Oryzias latipes: one gene and its partner. The protein of the gene in region 1 interacts with the protein of each later gene in a pairwise test. Links are inferred from orthologs where the notes say so. Each region holds a gene or a part of one and is shown in the gene's direction. Other genes may lie near its edges.

Region 1 (6,293 bases):
CTTTTATAACCTCCTGGTGTTCTACGTTCCTCACTGTATGACATCTCTTGAAAGAAAAAAGTCAAAAATCAACAACTAAAACACAAATGTGAGTCTCGCCCAACCACAGAGGAAGTTTGACCTGTGGACCCACCCAGATGAATACAGTGTTTTTTTTAATGTTTTTACTGCTGATGGAGGAGATTTATAATAAAACATAGACGTAAACATTTATTTTTGAGGATTTCTTACTTCAAATTGTTGTGAATGAGAAAAGCATTAAAGGTAAAGATGGAAACAATGCGGCGACCCCTGAAGGGAAATGCAGAAAGGTGAACAATAAGGATCAGGTGTGTTATAGCAGAGGCGTCCTGGTAATGCTTTAGGGGAACACGGTCCATCGACCATCCACGATTGAATCACGGCAATCTCTTTTCATACACCTTTTACTCAACAGAGTCCTTGAATGATTTCTCAGCATAAACTCAAAAACACCAAATGACTGGATGTTGCTCATCTTTTGTAAATCTGAAACCCCTTCCAGAGCAAAACGTTGCACAAGGATAAGTCTCTCCAGTCAACAGGAGCCGATCAATCTTTACGACGATGCAGGGCGGGTCGCTCCTGAACCGCTGGATAACACAGATTTATCTGTAAGACATGTACGGCTGATAAAACAGATTCAGGGGGGGTCAATAAAAAAACGTTTTCTGTCTTTACATCGTCCATACCACACGCCTGAATATTTGAAATCCTTCGTGACTGACTACTAAGTTTATGGGAAAAAAACTGTTAAGGAATCATTTACATGTTTAAAAAGATGAAAAAATAAATGAATAATGCAGGCGTTTTATTTGTTTCTAAACCAGTAATAAAATCAGAGACATGACGTGTTCTAGATGTGACCGTTCACCCCTCAGTGGCATGGTTCCAGGCTGTTCTGCCTTATGAATCTGGATGATAATCTCTTTATATGTCCACCAGACCAAATCTTGAATTTCTCTTTGTTGCTTTTTTACCCACAACTGTGTAATATTAAACCCTTGGGCCACAAAGGGGTCTAAGATTTGGCAGAAAGGCCGGACCGGGAGCTGTTGTACAGAGTGTTTTGGTATCACAACTCATGAGATGAAGAAATAACGTGGAATCTTGACAAAAACATCTGTAGCTTTTGATAGAAAATTGACATACATGTAGAACATTTTGGTGTCTTTATTTCAAAACTGTGGCTTTTCTTCCCATTTTAGAGCCATTTGCACCAATGGATTGATGTTCCTTTAGGGAAAAAGTAAATTAGAGTAACGCTGCGTTCAAGTGGAATTGGAATGATAGAAAAATGCTTCCCAGAAAAACAACATATATTCCAAAACCACATGCAATGCAAAATGAGCTTCTGCATCTGAGCAACAGCCCATTTATTTGTAGAGAACCATCTATGGGGAGGCACCAGAATTACAGGGAAAAGCAGGAAACTGGTTTGAGGCTGCATTTATCTTTTTTCTTTCTTTTTATGTCTGTCCACTTGTCCATTACATTATTTTCTAATTTTGTTTTGTTTTTTTGTTTTTGATGTTTGTATGAATATTTTTCGTTGTTTTTTTGTTTTTAAATTCTTAGTTAATTTTGGATTTTTAAGGGCTATCACCTCTGAAGGGGGATTCATAGCATTTAGGGGAGGACATTACCCCCCTTGCCCATGCCTGTATACGGCCTCGATTCACCGCTGTAATAAAAAGATACACCTGGAGAGGCTGGTTTGACATTGAACAGTTTTAAGTGTATCACAACCTTTCTTCTTAATGAAAACATGACTGGACTTTATTTTTTGTTTCTTAAAAAATGTTCCATTAAAGTATTATGTAGTAGTATTAGTTTTTTGTGGCTTTTCAGGACACTATTTTTTTTTCCAGTGATTTGCTGTTGTGTTTCAGTATTTGTTCATTTTTACTGGGATTTGTTGTTGTTGTATCTGGCACTTCTCGGCCACCGTATTTTTTCTCTACACACTAATGAAATCTGAGAGTAGCGCAGCAAGTGCCAACATGACCGGCGCTAGGACCTGGCAAAAGCAAACGGATCCCTTCAGCTCCTCAAGCAACGAGGAACGAGATGACGACAGCGCGCTAACAACTTAGCCGGATAGCTAACGCTATCTGGTGTACGTGCGGTGGAGGTGAATTCACATGAAATAGCAGTATAACCCCAAACATTTAACATTTTATTTTAGCTCAGTCACCAGGTTATTTAATTATGCCGAGCAAAAAGAAGAAGTACAACGCCAGATTCCCTCCGGTGAGTATAACCGTAAACTATCGGGTGTTGGGAGTCGCTAGCATTAGCAGACTGAGTGGGATTTGGCCTCTTTTGTTGCCAAGAGAATTAACAAGCTAAAGCAAGACTTTTCTAATGCAATTCGTTCTCCATCACCGAGATATTGTCCGTGTAAATAAAGCAGGTAACTAACTAATTCACGAGTCGTTCCCCGAGCAGTTTAGGCTGTGCGCCCTGTTGTTTTTAGCCTGTTATGCTAATCCTAATCTGGTATTATAGCTGTATAAACGGACAGTGATGGATCACAGCGCTGTCACGGCACGGCGCCCTTTAAATGTCACGTTTCTGCACCATCTAAATGAAGTTCTGGTTTGGTGTTTGTGGGATTTAGCTGATAAAGTCACACCATTATACCGATGGATGTTAATATTAGACAATAAATATTGGGATTCAGATGATAATAAACGAATCTGGGTGTAAAATTACAATAACCAGAACACGGGCTTTGATTTTAGAGATTTTGATTTTAATGTAAAGAGTCTCAGCAAGAGTGGATTAAACATAAAACTGGAATATTGAAAGACAACGCAATGTACAGAGGATCTCACTAAAGTGAGTACACCCCTCACTGTTTTCATTGGACACAAGACTTTTCGACACAATAAAATGTAGTCCGTGTTCATCTTTTATAGTAGTGAAAATTTTTTTCTTAAAAAATGACTATTAATATAGCCAAACCCCTGGCAACAAAAATGAATTTGGCATTTTCCTTCTCCGATATCATGTGACTCTTTACTGTTACAATGTCTCAGGTGTCAATAGATAGCAGGTGTGTTAAATATAGCATTAAAGCTCTTACACTCTCTCAAACTGATCACTGGAAGTTAAACATGGCTCCTCATGGCAAACCACTCACTGAAAAGAAAAAAAAGAATTGTCGGTTAACGTAAAGATGGCCTAGAAGGTTACCAACGGAAACGGTGCCCCCAAGACCATCCAGCGGTTTAAAAAAGACAGCTTTGACTCAGAACAGGTCTCGCTGTCGTCGGTCAAAGAAGTTCGTCGCACATTCACAGCATCACATCCAAAGCTGACCTTTGACACACATATGTATGAGAGCGTCGAGCTTTGCTGCAGGGGTGAGCCTGTCAGTGCTCAGACTATACGCCACAAACTGGTCTGCATGGCTGTTGTCCCACAAGAAAGACTTTTCTAAACGCGATGCACAAAAAGGCCCAGAAGTCAAGCAGACTAAGGAATGGATTACATGTTCTGTGGTCTGATGAGACCAAGATAAACCTGGTTCAGATGGCGTCAACCAGGTGAGGAGGACAAAGACAAGGGTGTCTTGCCTACAGTCAAGCACGGCGTTGGTCGAGTCATGGTGTGGGACTGCATGACAATTGGGGGGGGGGGGGGGGGTACAGAACCCCCAGCTTCTTCTCCTTTTTTTACATACTTTTGATGATTTTTACACAATAATTCTACAATGAGCATCAAGCTGTTCATAAAACTAAGTAACTTTTTACTGTAAAACCCACAAAAATTGAGATATAACAGTTTTTATATGTTTTAGAACAAAGATCAAATATGTGTAGATAAAATTAAAAGGCATAAATCCAAAAACAAAGCAAAGGTCAAAACAATGAGAAAACAGGCAAAGCTCCACTCAAAGCACTAAGGGGTATCACAATTACAGTATGTGTCATAACTCTTGTTATGTTATTTTAAACTAAAAATGTTAAAGCTAATAACCTTTTGAAACCTTCAGGTTTGATTTTGAATAGAAACGATGCAGATGAGGGTGTCGGATTTATAACTGTGTCATTGTGGCTGACAAACTCAACTGTGGGTCTGCAGAGGGCTAATTTGTTTCAATATTCCTTTTGCTTTCTCTACTTTTCATGGTTAGACTGTCACCTCTTTGGATAAACTGCCTCAGATTGGGCGTTTTTTTCTTTTGTTAAACATGTCGTCCTCTCATGTCCTCACGTAACACCAGACTGTTGTCTTTTCAGGCAAGGATCAAGAAGATTATGCAAACAGATGAGGAGATAGGAAAAGTGGCTGCAGCGGTTCCTGTCATCATATGTATCCTTTGCAAACGTGTTGGAACGTCACAGGGCCTTGTGGGATTTTTGCATGTGTGCAAACCTTTTGAACCGCTGCCCGTGTTTGCAGACAGAGCACACGCATGTGTGTCGCACTAATCAGCTTCATCTCAAGGGCAGCGGTCAGCAGATTTGTGCATCTCTGCAGGTTTGGTTCTGGTTTTTGACGCTTCAGGAGGAAGCGGTCTGTGCAGACGTTTTGTGCAAACACGGGTGAGTTATTATGTTCTTAATCAAAGCATCAGCCAGAGCTCTGGAGCTGTTCCTGGAGTCTTTGCTCACAAAAGCCTGTCAAGTCACGCAGTCGAGGAACGCAAAGACCATGACGATGTCCCACCTGTAAGTTTCTGAAAGAATCCGCTCTCCAAGAACACGTGAAAATGGCTTTAGCAGATGAAAGATTTTGGAGGATGTGTGCCAGTTACATCCATGTTGCAGTAAGGAAAAAAAACAAAACAATGGAAAGGCATTTCGTTGTTGTTCCGCTCAGTCTGCTGGATGGGAATGACTGGAATGGATGTGTGTTTTTTTTTCACTCCAGAAAACAGTGCATCGAGTTGGAGCAGCAGTTCGATTTCCTAAAGGACCTGGTAGCAACGGTACCGGACATGCAGGGCGAAGGGGAGGACAACCACATCGAAGGCGGAGGGGAAAAAGTCCAGCGCAGGTATCTCTGTCCCACAGGTGGACGTGGAGAACAGAATGAAATGAGGCCTAGCAGCTGCCTATGTGATCACGTATGTGTCACGCTACAGAATAACCTGGTCTGTGTTTGAGCAATGAAAATGTGCTCATGGTCTTCTCTTGTCCTGAATTAGTCAGAAGGCCTCTTGTTTCACCTGGCGACCTTAAAGGGCCTATAACATGATTTGCTGAGGCTTTTCAGAGTAAACTATGTCCATATACGGTGGGGCAAAAAAAGCATTTAGTCAGCCACCAATTGTGGAAGTTCTCCTACTTGATGAAGGAGGCCTGTAGCTTCATCATAGTCATAGGTATACCTCAACTATGAGAGACTAAATAAAAGAAGAAAATCACATTGTCTGAATTTTAAGGAATTTACTAGTAAATTATGGCGGAAAATAAGTATATGGTCACCCACAAACAAGCAAGATTTCTGTCTGTCACAGACATCTAACTTCTTCTGTAGAGGATCCTCTGTCCTCCACTGGTAACCTGTATTAATGTCACCTGTTTGAACTGGTTATCTATAGAAAAGACACCTGTCCACAACCTCAAACAGTCACACCCCAACCTTAACTATGGTCAAGACCAAAGAGCTGTCTAAGGACACCAGAAACCAAACTGTTGACCTGCACCAGGCTGGGAAGACTGAATCTGAACAGGTAAGCAGCTTGGTGTGAGGAAATGAACTGTGGGAGCAATTATTAGGAAATAGGAGACACACAAGACCACTGATGATCTCCCTCCATCTGGGGTTCCTGTCAACATCTCACTCCGTGGATCAGAATGATCACAAGAACGCTGAGCAAAAACCCCAGAACCACACGGGGGACCTAGTGAACGACCTGCAGAGAGCTGGGACCAAAGTAACAAAGACTACCATCAGTAACACACGACGCCACCAGGGACTCAAACCCTGCAGGGCCAGACGTGTCCCGCTGCTAAAGCCAGTACATGTGCAGACCCGTCTAAAGTTAGCTAGAGAGCATTTGGATGATCCAGAAGAGGATTGGGAGAATGTCCTATGGTCAGATGAAACCACAATAGAACTTTTTGGTAAGAACTCTACTCGTCGTGTTTGGAGGAGAAAGAATGCTGAGTTGCATTCAAGAATTTTTTAAAATTTCCTTAGGGATTATTAAAGACCAATTCTATTCTATTCTAAGAACACCATCCCTACTGTAAAGCATGGGGGTGGAAGCATCATGCTTTGGGGCTGTTTTTCAGCAAAGGGTCCAGGATAACTGA
Region 2 (6,376 bases), on another chromosome or scaffold:
CGCGCAGGGCCACGCAGCACACTCTGTCACTCCTCTCTTTTCGCCACCTGCAGTGCTCACCTTTAAGTGGGATGCCACACCCACGGGGCGTTGCTCTCAATTCCCAGCCAGGCGGCACCACAGGTGGAAATTATAACATACAATGAATAACAAAACACATTATTACACAACCAATAAAATCCGGTGTGGCCTCCCCTCGGCATCTGACGGTGCCACACCGTCACACCATCCCCCTCCTCTGAGGGATCGACGATGTGCGGCGATCCAGTCCAGCCCTCCGCCGCCGCGCAAGCCCACGCCGAACCACCAACCCGTTCCGCAGGCGCCCCTCGCCTAATGTAGAGGCCCTGTCCGGTTGGTCTGCAGGGATCAGCGGGACTGTCCTCCGGCGCGTGCTCCTCCACCCACGTCCTCGCGTCGGATGGATGCACGGGCTGCGGCTGCTCCACGACGGCGATCCCTCCGACCCGCTCCTCGGTGCGCCGCTCCAGTCGGTCCCAGCCCCGGCTAAGGCCCTTCCAACGGCAACACGCCCCCGCTGGTCTCCTCCCGGATGGCACCTCAGCCGATCGGAGCCGCCGACAGCAGGTTACAGGCGAGTTGTGACGCCTCTCCCGGAGCACTCCCCTGACGGCCCGGTAGACGTCGGTCCGCCCCTTGTCCAGCTCCGCACAGGCCTCCAACGCCCGCATCCGCGGCAGTGGAACCGGGCGGTATGCCCGTCCCGCCTCCGGCCGTCTTCGCGCTCCGGCGGTCCGCCCCTGCTGTCCGCGTGGTCCGCCGCTCGCCATGGGCGCCGAGTTGGACGCCGTAGTGCTTTCCGGGCCCCTGGCCAGGCCTGAAGCACCGCCAAGGCCACCCGGATCCACCCCCTCTTCCTTAGAGGATGAAGTACCTGTAGGAGGTGCTGAGCTGCCGGGGAGTCGTCGTCCCCACCACGCCGCTGCGTCCCCACCTTTTTGTGGTCTCCTCTGCGATCCCACTTCTGACACCAAATGTGGCGGGGTCCCGCCGAGAAAGGATGCAGAGGAACCAAGGTGAGGATGATCTGTCTTTATTTCCGATACTGTGAGCACCGCGCAGGGCCACGCAGCACACTCTGTCACTCCTCTCTTTTCGCCACCTGCAGTGCTCACCTTTAAGTGGGATGCCACACCCACGGGGCGTTGCTCTCAATTCCCAGCCAGGCGGCACCACAGGTGGAAATTATAACATACAATGAATAACAAAACACATTATTACACAACCAATAAAATCCGGTGTGGCCTCCCCTCGGCATCTGACGGTGCCACACCGTCACACCTTTCCACAGATTGAAACAAAAACTCAGCTCTCAGACAACAGACTGAACCCAGTAGTCTACGGAGTCTGTCAGCAGCAGGACAATGAAATGAATCGACTCGCTGTTGAGAAAATGTAGCTTCAAAGAGGCCGGAACTAAAGACGCAGGGACAGTTTTTCTCCCGGAACATTTGGAGCAGGTACACAGAATTGCTTCAAAGATAACTATCTCATCAAAAAAACAGCACCTCAAACAACAACAACAACAGTCACATAGCAGATGTCATGGAAGATGCATAAGGTTGGGGACACAGTGATCATAAAATGCTACAACTGATCATTGCAATCTACTTTTAGGAACAACTTTGATCATTATTTAGTGCTTTTTTAGTCAAAGGATGAAAACTTTTTCAGTGTTTTGGTACATCTAGTTAAACAAATTAATTAAAACAAAATCTGCACAAACAAGCTCCTTTATATTTTATTCATGATTAGTGATACTATAAATCCTGCTCACTACAGATGCAAAACACTTGGATCAATCTTTGATCCGATCAAAACATTTTGCACATGTAACCGCGGCTAATGTCAGTGGGAAGGGATTTGTCCGAGTGGTCTTAGCCGTCATTTCTATGGCAACCACTCTTGTCAATCAGTAGTGAGCTTGTTGGAAGTCCACGCCCCTACCCCTGAAAACGTGCTTGACAAAATCTGAAATGTTTTGAATGTTTGACATGGGGGCCAGTGGGCACAGCATGCTTTAGCTGAGGCATCTGATTAGATAGTTTATAAATTTAATAAATTAATGGGAAAAGAGGATTATCAAGAAGATGTTAAGGGCAAGAATGGGTATTCTGACCAATGGAATGGCTGAGTAACAGCTGTTTATTTCTCTATAGAAGTTTGGGATTTTGGCTTTTTGAGGACAAAAGGAAAACACACGAGACCACAACTTCACTAGTTTTCTGTGTCAAAGGTGAAAAGGCGCACTTTGATACATATTACTGTCGTAACAACTGGATTTTCTAGAATTAGAATTAACTGCTTGGTATAAAAGACAAAAAAGGCAAATCAATCCAGTCTATTCATTCTTGAATATTATGAGTGTGCACTCATTAATTAAAATGTGCTCTTATGAACGCAGTTTGAAGACAACACTCTTTGTACTCTATGTCAGGTAACAAATTGTGAGATTTCCGGGACATCCTGGAACGCACCACGGCCCCCTGCCGGCCGAGACCGGTAGTGCAGACGCGGCTCCGCGCTGGGACTGGTCGTTTCGCAGCCATTTTCTGTCCAACCAAACAGCCGTCTCAGGGAGGGAACCAACCAGGGCTTCATAGCAGGTTTGTGCCGGGCTCGGCCAATGATTGTTAACCGATTCGTCGTTAGCTCGAATGGAAATGTCCGTTGATGGCTGATTTTTTACGTGTTGTCTCAATGAGTGAGGGCTGCTCGTCAGGAAGTGTTTGCGGGCGAGACTCCGCCGAACGCCCGGGCCCAGCTCCGGCTAGGCTGACAAAGAACAGGCCGACGCAGGAGCAGATTGCCGCGGGTTCACAATGAGCACGACTGCCGGAGACGCCGCGTCCCGTTCAGGCGTCCCCCTAACGAGAAAGTCCGTCACACTCGCCGCTTCTCTGTGCGCGGAAACCACCGACGGTTCTTGGGCACTCAGTCACGCCGGCTCCGCTCGCTCCCGTGCCGCGGGACCACTGCTAACGCTAGCTAAACGCACCTCGTTGACGTCTGCAGACCGGCAGCTAACTCCCACGGAGCCTTTGATGATCATGTTCACAAACGGCGGGCTCAGTCTGACACGCCGCCGGGCGGGCCTCAGACTTCGCTCCTGTTATGAAGAGAAAACAGCGAAACGGTCTTCAGGGTCCATGTCTGCGGGGTGGACGCATCATTTCTGTATGAAACACTGGAACCTGAACGCAGCACTGAAGCTCCGTTATCCGAGCTGCTGTCCCCGCGAAGCTCTGGGCAGAGAAATGGTCCATCACGGAGAAACAGCCTCACAGCCAAAACAAACGATCCAGGCATTTCAATTGTTATTGGTTCCGGGTTCGATTCCTGCTCGCCGTAAACGATTCCATTTACTTTCATATTTTTAACTGAACCTTTTTGACCTTACTGAGGACAGAATAAGTTCCAGAGGCCCAGCCTTCATGCTGAAATGATGGTCCCCTTGTGCTGCTTGGTTACAGGAACGTTTGATCTGCATCCCTCCAGCTTACTGACTTTCAATCAGCTGCTCTGAACTTGTGGGAGATGGACGGAGACAGCTCCACCACAGACACATCTCAGCTGGGGATCACCGGAGAATACATGGCTTCTGGTCAGTACGTTCTCCAACCCCAGGATGGTAAGGATCTCCCGTTCCTGACAGCTCCCCACCAAACCAGGTGACATCCTGAAGAGCTGCTCTGTCTGTTCTGCAGAAGATGGAGAGGAGAGCATGAATGACCACGAGGAGGGGGGCTCCAAGGAGAACTACAGGGAGCAGGACATCTATCTGCCTATTGCAAACGTGGCACGCATCATGAAGAACGCTGTTCCTCAAACTGGAAAGGTTTGTTAAAGTCTTAAGAAGATGTTTTGGAATGTGAGCTGCTGCTTAACTTTGAAATCAAATTTCAGCTCAAGCACCTCGCAAAAACGTGTCTTTAGGAGGTGGTTGGGTTGTGAACATGCTCACAAAGACTCCTGTACTTTTAACAGAGCAGTGCAGGCACCAGATCACACCTGCAGATGGTGCAAGGGATCCATCCGCGTGGTAAACCGGTTCAAACGGATGTAGCCACAGCTGGAAAAAAGTTTATGAGCTTGTTAAAGATCACCTGTTTGATCATCACACCATACAGATGATGTATTAGAAACATCTAAAGAAAAGCCTGGAAAAACCCAAAACTGCAAACAGAGCTCCTTATTGGCTGCAGGCCTTCCTCACCCCAACTCACCTGCTTTCTCCTCTTTTCACCACAGATCGCCAAAGATGCCAAAGAGTGTGTGCAGGAGTGTGTGAGCGAGTTCATCAGCTTCATCACATCGGAGGCGAGTGAGCGCTGCCACCAGGAGAAAAGGAAGACCATCAACGGCGAGGACATCCTGTTTGCCATGTCCACGCTGGGCTTCGATATGTACGTGGATCCACTGAAGCTCTACCTGCAAAAGTTCAGAGAGGTGTGACTTTACCTTCTGTCCTTAAATGCTGTCACACACCCAAGCTGCAGTGGTGCATGTTTGTTTTGCAGCTTGTTACATTACACAGTTAGATTTACCTGTTTGTAGCATCTCTGTTGTCCTTCGCTGTTGTGTGTTGACTTCCTGTCTGTCGTGTCTCTCTTGTCCCACGTTCTTGTGTTTTGACTTCTTTTTTGTGGCGTCTCTGTTGTCCCGCGTTTGTTTGTTAACTTCCTGTTTGTAGTGTCTCTGTTGTCCTTCGTTCTTGTGTTTGGATTTCCAGTTTGTCGTGTTTCTGTTGTCCCGCATTTGTGTGTTGACTTCATGTCTGTCGCGTCTCTGTTGTCCCGCGTCTGTGTTTTGACTTCCTGTCTGTTGTGTCTCTGTTGTCCCGCACTCATGTATGTTGAATTCCTGTCTGTTGTGTCTCTGTTGTCCTTCGTTCTTGTGTGTTGACTTCCTGTTTGTCGCGTCTCTGTTGTCCCGCATTTGTGTGTTGACTTCCTGTCTGTCGCGTCTCTGTTGTCCCGCGTTTGTGCGTAGACTTCCTGTCTGTTGTCTCTGTTGTCCTTCGTTCTTGTGTGTTGACTTCCTGTTTGTCGCGTCTCTGTTGTCCCGCGTTTGTGTGTCGACTTCCTGTCTGTTGTGTCTCTGTTGTCCTTCGTTCTTGTATGTTGACTTCCTGTCTGTAGCGTCTCTCTTGTCCCGCGCTCTTGTATGTTTACATCCATTTCTGCTGCTCCAACGGCAGGTTTGAGTTTTTACAGGAGTTACCTCCGTTGTGTAAGTTTCGGTGCAAATGTCTTGTCGTTTTTGGTCTCTTCAGGCGATGAAGGGAGAAAAGGGGATTGCAGGCGTGTCGGTTGGGGAGGGACTGAGTGAAGAGCTAACAGATGATTTCAGTAAGTTGAATCCAACAGTGAGGTTCTCTCTACTGCTCATGTTCTTCATGTGTGAATTTGTGTGCAGCAAACCCACTTCCTGCAGGGATCATTACAGCAGACGGCCAGCAGCAGAACGTCATGGTGTACACCACCTCATATCAGCAGGTAAGCCCCTCATCTTCTGTCAAGACTCTTTGACGGTACTGAACTACAATCCCAGCATGCTCCATTCCAGATCCCTACTGTGCAGCAGATCCAGTTTTCATGACCAGACCAGTCCGTGCACTCGCTTGGGGCACGTGCTTATCCGATGACCTGTGACCCTGTGGGGTGAAGGTTGTCTGTCAGAGGAGGGGGGGTGCCCTCAAACACAGAAATCACTACCTGTTTAGTTGAAAGTGTAGTTTCTAGTTGTGAGGTACCAAATGTTCTGGATATGTTTCAGAGCAGCTGGGAAATTCAAGGCTTTATTTTAAAGGCATGATTTTGTGGTGGAACTCTGTTTGTGCATACTTATTAATGTGTTTGCTTTTATGTGTTTACCTTAAGTTTGTATTTTTGAAGGCGGGAGGGCAGTGATACTCTAAAAGCTTCACTTGGGTTTGAAATCCAGACGTTTCTGTCTGAGTCGATCATGCAGCTCTTTTGTAAACTGTTTACCATGTGCTTTCATGTCATAAAAATCCTTTCAATAAAAACTCCAACCTGAAATTTTCAAGGGTCTTTATTCCCACCAGAGGAGCCGTCGTGAAAAATTACGCAGTTTACACATTTTACGTAAATCTTATGTGCCTAGCTGCCTTGCCTCACATAAACTGAAGTTCCATCCCATTCCTAACCCATAAAGTTCAATGTATTGTGGGTCCACCTTGAGTAGCGATTGCAGCTTCAACTCTTCTGGGAAGGCTGTCCACAATGTTGATCATTCTTCCAAAAGCGTATTGGTGAGGTCACACACTGATGTTGGGGGAGAAGGCCTGGCTGTCAGTCTCTGCTCTAATTCATCCCAAAGGTGTTCTATG

Evidence for each region.
Region 2: the proteins of drap1 (region 1) and nfyb interact in binary tests that used the Homo sapiens proteins (3 or more experiments, as listed by UniProt). The two-hybrid records come from large-scale screens. The link is inferred for Oryzias latipes from reciprocal best matches to the Homo sapiens genes DRAP1 and NFYB.

Annotation. Positions count from the first base shown.
Region 1 is NC_019876.2:27,235,991-27,242,283, forward strand, and holds the start of drap1 (dr1-associated corepressor), read left to right. Parts: upstream 1-2,019; 5' UTR 2,020-2,229; coding exon 2,230-2,271; intron 2,272-4,268; coding exon 4,269-4,341; intron 4,342-4,606; coding exon 4,607-4,700; intron 4,701-4,902; coding exon 4,903-5,028; intron 5,029-6,293. UniProt on the Homo sapiens protein: The association of the DR1/DRAP1 heterodimer with TBP results in a functional repression of both activated and basal transcription of class II genes.
Region 2 is NC_019881.2:8,916,602-8,922,977, forward strand, and holds nfyb (nuclear transcription factor Y subunit beta), read left to right. Parts: upstream 1-2,497; 5' UTR 2,498-2,627; intron 2,628-2,678; exon of another isoform or gene 2,679-3,369; intron 3,370-3,494; 5' UTR 3,495-3,558; coding exon 3,559-3,652; intron 3,653-3,728; coding exon 3,729-3,859; intron 3,860-4,272; coding exon 4,273-4,470; intron 4,471-5,296; coding exon 5,297-5,372; intron 5,373-5,439; coding exon 5,440-5,519; intron 5,520-5,589; coding exon 5,590-5,622; 3' UTR 5,623-6,065; downstream 6,066-6,376. UniProt on the Homo sapiens protein: Component of the sequence-specific heterotrimeric transcription factor (NF-Y) which specifically recognizes a 5'-CCAAT-3' box motif found in the promoters of its target genes.